Linked DNA regions of Rattus norvegicus. The protein of the gene in region 1 interacts with the protein of each later gene in a biochemical or structural test. Links are inferred from orthologs where the notes say so. Each region holds a gene or a part of one and is shown in the gene's direction. Other genes may lie near its edges.

What was found. The genes of interacting proteins can lie anywhere in the genome.
Region 2: the proteins of Reln (region 1) and Lrp8 form a complex in vitro, tested with the Homo sapiens proteins (7 studies listed by BioGRID). The link is inferred for Rattus norvegicus from reciprocal best matches to the Homo sapiens genes RELN and LRP8.

The regions. Positions count from the first base shown.
Region 1 is NC_086022.1:13,988,217-13,992,653, forward strand, and holds part of Reln (reelin precursor), read left to right. Parts: intron 1-848; coding exon 849-1,069; intron 1,070-3,288; coding exon 3,289-3,436; intron 3,437-4,437. UniProt on the Homo sapiens protein: Extracellular matrix serine protease secreted by pioneer neurons that plays a role in layering of neurons in the cerebral cortex and cerebellum by coordinating cell positioning during neurodevelopment.
Region 2 is NC_086023.1:127,847,441-127,851,877, forward strand, and holds part of Lrp8 (low-density lipoprotein receptor-related protein 8 precursor), read left to right. Parts: intron 1-611; coding exon 612-764; intron 765-1,779; coding exon 1,780-2,004; intron 2,005-4,437. UniProt on the Homo sapiens protein: Cell surface receptor for Reelin (RELN) and apolipoprotein E (apoE)-containing ligands. LRP8 participates in transmitting the extracellular Reelin signal to intracellular signaling processes, by binding to DAB1 on its cytoplasmic tail.

The DNA.
Region 1 (4,437 bases):
GACGCAAAAGTAAGTGTCCATGACCTATCTAATGCCTAGCCCCTCTCTTCTATCTTCTCTGAGCTGACTTTTATGCATGTTTTAAAAAAAAAAGTTATTTCTGGACTTCTGGTTAAATGATTATTTCCAGTAACGTGTTTGTCACCAGTAACATGATAAGATAACTCAGTTGCTAATTTTGGTGATGATGGTGATTTAGGCGATATGCTAGGAGGAGACCAGTGGTTGGTTAGGTTTATATTTAAAAAATAAAAACAAAACAGAGTTTAGGCTGGCCTAGAACTCTCTGCAGAGGCTGGCCTCAAACTAATGGGAGTCTTTCTATCTCTATGTCAGGTTCTGAGATTGCAGGCATGAGTCACCAACCCTGACACATTTGCTTATTTTTTATTAAAAAGTAAAAAAGTAAAACAAGACATAAGAAGAAGCAACCCAAAAAATAAATCTGATTTTCTAACTTTTTTTTTCTCTTAAATTTATTGAGCAGTTACTGTGTTAAAAACCGTGAAAGGGTGTGATAATGTTTGATTCTGTGTTCATGAGTTTTATACCATTTTTTTAACGTTTAGTTATGCAGAGCGGTGCCAGTCAACTAGCTTTTATCATTTTATCAAGAGAGCCAGTGTTGGGACCACAGGAAGATCAGGTGCAGTTTTTCAGTAACTGGTAAAATTCTACTGCCCAAAAAAAATAAAATTAGAATTTCCCACAAATGGCAAGTCTCATTTTCCTCTGTCTTCTAAGTTGATGTATAAGAAGCAATCCCCCTCTGCTCATGGACCGAGGGTGCTAGCTCTAAAGATGTGATGTCCTCATGGGTAACTTTGACACCCTGCTTTGTCTTCCAGATCTGTGCGTTTCCGTTGGTACCAGGGATTCTATCCCGCCGGCTCTCAGCCGGTCACGTGGGCCATTGATAATGTCTACATTGGTCCCCAGTGCGAAGAGATGTGCTGTGGGCATGGGAGCTGCGTCAATGGAACCAAGTGTATATGTGATCCCGGCTACTCCGGTCCAACCTGCAAAATAAGCACCAAAAATCCTGATTTTCTCAAAGACGATTTTGAAGGTAGTCTTCTTTGTGTGCTTCTTGGAAGAATTTACCTATAAGCACAACCTGTGTTGGAGAATTAACCACTCACATATATTCTAATAGTCGTCTTTACAATGGCCAACACACCAAAGTCCCTTTCTCTCTGAATTTTATGGGTTACACTTTTGACACGGCGGTTAGTGAGGGAGAATGAATAAGACTTTAATTGAGAAATTAAAGGTTACCTTCACCACTTTTTTGTAAGATTTATTTAATTTTCGATAGACAGGTTAGATCATTAATGTCTTTTTTTAAGGTCATTAATGTCTTGATACTACTATTGATGCTATTGATAGATACTTATACATAGATAGTTATACATCTAAGAACCTATGAGAAAAATCAAATTCCTTTAGTAAATTAGTTGATTATATTTCACATTTCACATTTATTAGCTAGTTGAGAATTTTGCACAGTGTATTTTGATCATTCACCCTCTCCCCTCTGACTCCTCCTAGATCTACTGATCCACTCATTTCCTGTCCCACCCGACGCCGTGTCCTTTTTATTTCCCCTTTAAGTTTGAACTGCCCAAATATTCGTGGCTATGGGGCCTTGCACGGAGAACGGTCTTATCAGGACTATACTCTTAGACAACCCTGTCTCTCCCTCTCACAAAAGCTGTATAGCCAGCAGCTCCTTGGCTAGGGAGAAACTTCATGCCCAACTAACTGCCTTCCTGCTGGAACTTGGTCTGGCTGGGCTTGTTCAGGTCTTGTGCATGCTATTACAACTGCTTTATTTCCATGACTTTTGATACCACATGTAATTGCTGACAAGTGGCACAAGAATATGCCTAAGGGGTAATCTTGGATTATAAGAAACAGTTTTTCAGAAATCTTGGTTCCACCAACCATTCAGGCAGCCTCTCCTTTTCCACACCTTTATTTTACATCAATACATATGACGGGAGTGTTGCGACAGAGAAAAGTGTACATTATATACTAGTTACATTGGGTGCATCTGAATTGTAGATGTGCTTTTACCAAAGGTTGGATTAAAACATTTTCATATGGTGGACCAATACAGCAGCCATGTGTGTTAGCGAATCAGATCAAAAGATTTTGTTTTCCTCCATTTTCTTTCAATTATTTTGAATTGTTAAAATAATTAAAACCTTAATTGTTTTAATTTTAATAATTTTATTGTTTAATTAATTTTCTAATCATTTAATAATTTTTATCATTTTTAAATTATTTCATTTTTAATTATTTTATTATTTTAATTATTTTATTTTAATAATTGTAAAATATGTGTAATCATTTTTATTATTTATAATTTTATAATACATCTTAACACTACATTTAGGTACAAGCATACAGGGAAACATTACACGGCCATAAAACATTTGAACTATTGATACATGCTACAATGTATATGAACCTTGGAAATAATATAATACGTAAAAGAAACCAGACCCCCCCAAAAAAAATCTACTGCATATTCTGTTTGTGTGCAGCATCTCAAATAAACCTGTCCTTGGAGATTAAAAATAAACAGACTGCTTGGTTGCCAGGGATGCAGAAGAAAGGGAAGCTACTGCTTTATTGATACAGGCTTCTTCTCCTTGAGGGGATGGAAACCTTGAAATAGTTAGTGATAAAGGTTTTACATCAGAAATACACCGATACCATTTTGGATTATTCGCTTTTAAGTTGTTAATACAGTAAACATGTTTTGTGCATTTTCCCTCATTAAAGAAAACTAAATTCACATCTGAGTAGATTTGAAAACTGGCTTTGAAAGGCATTTAACAGCAACTATTAAATTATATTTAAATGTCTGTGATTAAAAAAAAACAAAAACAAAAGCATCCATTTTCAAAAGATACTGTGTTATTCCTCCGTTAAGGCTGCCTCTGATTGGGAAGGACACGGTAGAGACGCTGTGTCCCAGCTTCTGGCCTGTCTTCTGGCCTCATTCTCTTCCTGACTAACCAGCATTTTTCTTTGATGTGCGCTTGCCTGGCTGAACCACAGATAGTTAGGAAAAGCCCCTCTCTGACATGTGTACCTTTTTATCACTCAAGGCTAAAAACACTGAAGACGTTCATGTGATAAAGAGTCCTTTTATCCCAAAATGCACACTTAGGGTTTATGGCTTCACATTTTAAAAGCACATGACACACTCTGTCATATTTCTTTGAAACTGTAATAAACATGGTCATGGGTAAACCACGTTTTCCACTCTCTCAGGTCAACTGGAATCCGATCGATTCTTACTAATGAGCGGTGGGAAACCTTCTCGAAAATGTGGGATCCTTTCCAGTGGGAACAACCTCTTCTTCAATGAGGATGGCTTGCGCATGCTGGTAACACGGGACCTGGATCTATCGCATGCTAGGTAATTGTGGCACACGGTTGTGGCCCTAAAGCAGAAGCCAGGAACTCTTAAGGGTGACACCTCCCGTGCCAATGTTAGGCGTCTCTCCATTCAAAGTCCCCAACAAGACACATGTCACGTAATTTCTAATTCAAGACCTATGTTTGTTCAATACCGACATCACCTGTGAAACACCTAAACAAAATCTGTCATTTTATAATCTCAAGAAATATTTATTCACTCTAACTTCGAAAAATAATATTGTGTCTGTCTTGTTCCCCTTCTACTGACTATAGTCATTGGTACTCGAACTCTTAGTAAGGAGCTCAGTAGAAATGCAATGCATCCTCAAGTTCCTCATGACTCCTCATCAGCAAATTTAGTTGAGAATATTTGAAATACGGTCCAGGGTGTCCGTAAGCAACTAGCCAGTGCTTCTGTAGCACACAAGAAGTCATTTTCTAAATTGAGCATAGTCACTCAGAAAAAAAAATCACATTTTAAGCTGGCTCAGAGAGTCATGCCCTGTCACAATGCATATCCCCTGGTCGCTTGATGAGCCAGAGCCTTAACAGCAAAACATAATGTACAGTTTAACGTGTGGAAAATGCAGCGCTGACCTATTTTTAAATGAACAAGGAAATCATGTTTATGGTTTTAAAACATGTCACAGTGCTTTAAAATACATCCGAACATCCCCTCTTTTTCCTGAATCCAACTTCTGATTATAAATAATACAGTTCACGGAAAATACAAGTCTACCTAAAATAATTTTATAGTTACTGAAAGCAAAATTTTATCCTATCCCATTCTAATGTACGCAGTTTAATTTGCATTCCTTATACGAGATTCTTCAATACCGTCCATGTTCTCTAGTTTAGAAATCATGTTTTTCCAAATAAGGGATTCAGATTTATTTTTCTAAGTGGTTATCTGGCGTTTATATTATCACTAAGTTAATATGAGCATCTTTTCGATACAAATAGGTAGTACACCTAGTCTTTCCCAGATACTGTTCTCAT
Region 2 (4,437 bases), on another chromosome or scaffold:
AACAAAAATCTAAACCGGAGGCCACCTGATTGCCAAGTTCCTTCTGTCGCGACACATCAGTGTGCACTTACTTCTAGCACCCATTTTGCAGTACTGCAAACTCCTGTGTCTCCAGGCCTTACAGTTAGCCAGGTGGCTTACTGGGAACGGTCTAATAGTCGTACCACAGGGCTGTGTCATCCGCTGCCATGACCAGCTGTAACCAGTAATGGCTGCCAGGGTAAGGGAGACAGCAAAGAGAGGGGCAAGACGATGAGGTCTGCACCTGATTCTAGTTCTAGAGACTTAAAGCAGAAAGAGACGGCAGGTGCCCAGAGGAGGAACAAACGAGACAGACACAGTCGGGGAGAGGTAGACTTAAAATTCCTAGAGTTGTAACGTGTCCGTGTGTTCTCTGAGGGTAGGCTTCTCTGTCACCTGGAACCGTAACCCACCTCTCAGAACTGTAAGAATGAATGAGGGTAACGATAAAGTCCCAGCTACTATGCTGGTGGGGAAAGATTTCTGTGCAAGTCCAGTTGGTGGGAACTCACTATTGGTAGACAAGAGGACCTGGCATGGCCTGTCAATCTCCCAACATGCTCTCTGTCTGCTCCTCCCCCTGCCATTAGCTGCAGATGCCTGTGAGCTGAGTGCCCAGCCCAATGGCGGCTGTGAATACCTGTGCCTTCCTGCTCCTCAGATCTCCAGCCACTCTCCCAAGTACACCTGTGCCTGTCCTGACACAATGTGGCTGGGCCCAGACATGAAGAGATGCTACCGAGGTTAGTGACAAACATTGCCCTGGACTCGTAGGGACTCAGTATGCTCCAGCTTTTCCTCCAACTTCCCCGGTTGCCTCTCACATCTGCACCTTCGTCTTATCTAAACGTCCTTGACAGAGTGAGTTCATGGCACCCTCCAAGGCTTTCCCATCTCCAAGAAAAGTGCAATGCGCATAAAATGCTTTAAATTCGACTTTCAGGAAGTTTCTAGAATCCCTTGAAAACCAAGTTAATGGGGCCTGGAGTAGGCTCCGTGGCTGAGAGCACTTGCTGCTCTTGCAGAGGACTCTGGCTCAGTTCCTAGCACCTATATGATGGCTTTCAACCATTCCTAACTCCAACTCCAGAAGTTCCAACCCTGATTCCTTCTACTGACTTCTGAGGATACCAGGCGAGCTCGTGGTGCCCAGGCAAAGCACCCGTAGATACAAAATAAAAACAGATCAAAAAGTAAAAATTAAAATGAAGAAAACTTCGAGTAAAGAGCCCTTGGTCCTTGCTGACCATTTGTAGCAGATGCCTGTTCTTAGCTAGACCTGGCACACTGCGTAGATGCCCTTGAGTGCAGTTGTGACTAATGGTGGACTAGCACTTCATCCTCACAACTGGGCTTTGTTTCTCAGTCCCCATGTGTAGCCAAACCTTGGGTTTGAGCATCAGGCCTGTTACATCATTTACAATGTCCAGATTCAACTGTTTAACGTGAAGAATTTAAACCTGACGATGTAACTACAGACGAGGATGAAATGCTTCTCAATTTGTATTTCTGCTCCCTCTGGTCTTTTACAGAGGCCTCCTCCACACTTGTCTCCACAGCTCTGTCCCACGGACCCGTCTTTATCAGATCAAAGTGAAGTGCTAGGACTCAGCTTCAGAGAAGATCACGGCCCATTCGGGGATGGGGGAAAGTTTCACAATAGTGGCATCTGAGCTAAGCCCAGAGGCTGAGCCCCTACTGGAACTCAGCAACCATAACTGGGCACCAAAGCAACAAACTGCTGTCTTTCCCCTCTAGCACCTCCGTCTACCTCAACTACAACCTTAGCCTCTGCTATGACAAGGACAGTACCTGCTACTACGGGAGCCCCTGGGACAACCATCCACGACTCTACCTACCAGAACCACAGCACAGAGATGCCAAGCCAGACAGCTGCCGTCCCTCACTCAGTGAACATCCCTAAGGCTCACAGCACCAGCCCGTCCACCCTGAGCCCTGCAACCAGCAACCACTCCCAGCACTGTAAGGAAGTCAGCTCTGCATTTCGTATAACTTGGGGGAAGCCAAGATGAGGGTCGGGAGTGGCTAGGAAGGAAGATCTTGTAATGTCCACCTCTTAGGAGGAAGCAAGGGAGAGAAGGTCCTGTCCTGGGATTGAGGAAGCTTGGGTGTCCATAAGTTTAAAAGGACCTGGAGGCAAACCATTCGTTCATCTCTAAACGTCAGTCTCCCCCTAAAAGGAACCAATAATAAGCTACACTCGACTTGCTTCTCAAGATGGTCAGGAGAGGCAAAGGCTCCTGGCAGTGGTGGTCAGCAAACAGGAGACAGGACAGGCAGATCTCTAAGTTTTAGGCCAGCCTGATCTACATAGAGAGTTCCAGGCCTGCCAAGGCAATATGGTAAGACCCTGCCTCAAAGAGGGAACTAGGCAAAAGAGGCATTGTGAATGGAAGTGCCCAGCTGCCTGGGTATGTGTCAGTGTTCCATGTGTTCCTGAGGTGGGTGTCGTCGAGTTTGGAAAGCTCTATCCGAGCTCCCGGCAGCCTTGGTAAGCTGCCCAGGCAGTAATGTCTGTAAAGTATGATCTGCTTGTGCCTGTTTCCAAATCTTGGATAGAATAACTAAGCTTAGTACTTCTTTAATCCTTGGGAGCAGTAATTGTCCTGTTGGAACAGCTGTATCTCATTAACCAGAAAATACCTTTATAATTGCCGGGGGGCTTCATTTTAAATGATAAACCATCTCTCATTTTTTCCCCATACACGGCTGGCCCAGAAACCAAGCAACCTGGTGACATTGTTCAGATCAGGGCTGTTTAGCCAGCAGAGGCTAGGTTCTAAGAATAGACGTTTGAGGCAGCCTGGTGTTTGCAGAGGTGGAATTCCATTTCCTCTCATGGGGGCAGAGGTCTGAGTGTTCTCTCAGGTCTTGGGACGTTTCCTAGCACATCAGAGCAAGGGGACAGCAGTGCTTCCAATTAGCTTGTTTTCTTCCTTCTTTGTATGCGTGCATGCCTGTGCGTGTGTGCGTGCGGGCGTGTGTGTGTGTATGTGTGTGTGTGTGTGTTTGTGTGTGTGTGTGTACATGTTCATCTTTGTGCACGTGTGTGTACTGAAGGTGTATAATATGTATGTGTGCTTGTTGAAGCTGGAGATCAACCTTGGGAGTGTTCTCAATAGTTCTGCAATATAATTCTTGAGACAGTCTCTCACAGAACCTGGAGCTCACTGGTTCAGCTAAAGTGGCTGGCCAGCAAGCTTCAGGTCTCCTCCTGTCTCCTTCCTCAGCCAGGGCTATGGGCACATGCTGCCATGCTTGGCTTTACATGAATTGGGAGCAGAACTCAGATCCCCATCCCTAAATGGCAAGCACTTAACAAGTGAGCCATCTCTCCAGCGCCCTCCAATTAGCTAACTTGGTGAACAGGGCAGCTCCCTGATTAGCCAGAGTTTCTTGAAGTAACATGGAGAAATAGATTGGGGGGCATTGCCAGTGGCTAGCCATTCCTCTCACACCTCAGAGGGCTCTCATGGGATCCCAGGGCATAGAGCTGTACAGGTGTCTCAGGTGTCTTAGAGCTAGGGAAGGATATTTATTTAAAACAATACATTTATAATTACTCTTCATTTAAGAATGGGCTTTTATGTGCCTTTAACAGCAACAAGGATCCTTTAGAGATGGGGTCTCGCTATGTAGCCCAGGCTAGTCTAAACTTGAGGTCTTCTATCCTTACCATCCCGAGTGGGGTGTGATATGCATTCACCATCATGCCTGGCTAACAAACCTTTTTAAATTTAACCCTCATCATAACTACTACCACCTCACTACCATCTTGAATTAGGCAATGCCAGCCAGATATTGTGCTAAGTATCTGATATGATCCCATTTAATCCTTAAATGGACCCCTAAGAGGTAGAAAATATTTTAAGATAAATATAATATACATATAATATACATTATACGTTTAATATTACATTAACTTCCACAGGGTCACACGGGTAATGTGTAATAGAGATAGAATTTGAACCGAGGAAGCCTGACCCAGAAGCCTATGCTCCCAATTACACTCTACTACATTCCAGTATATCAGGTTTTAATCTCTTAGGAAAACAAGCTGGTAGTGCATAGAACAGGCAGACCACCAAAACAGTGGAGACAGTGCATTGGATTTTAGTGGAAAAAGACAGCCAGCCCCATCGGCAGCAAGGAGACCTAAGCTCTCACCTGCCGCGTAGCCCCCAGCTTCCTATTGGACTTGGGTCATGAGTCCTGTGTTCAAATCCCAAGTCTGCATTTATCAAAGTTTAGTTTCCCGGATGTGAAATAACCTCAGTCCTATTTGCCCCTGGAGTTTTGGGGATGTTTAGTGAGACTGAATTATTACACAGTAACTGGGAGCATCACCTTAGAGCAAGGACAAGAAGAGGTTGGGCGGGTGGTCCTTACAGCTCA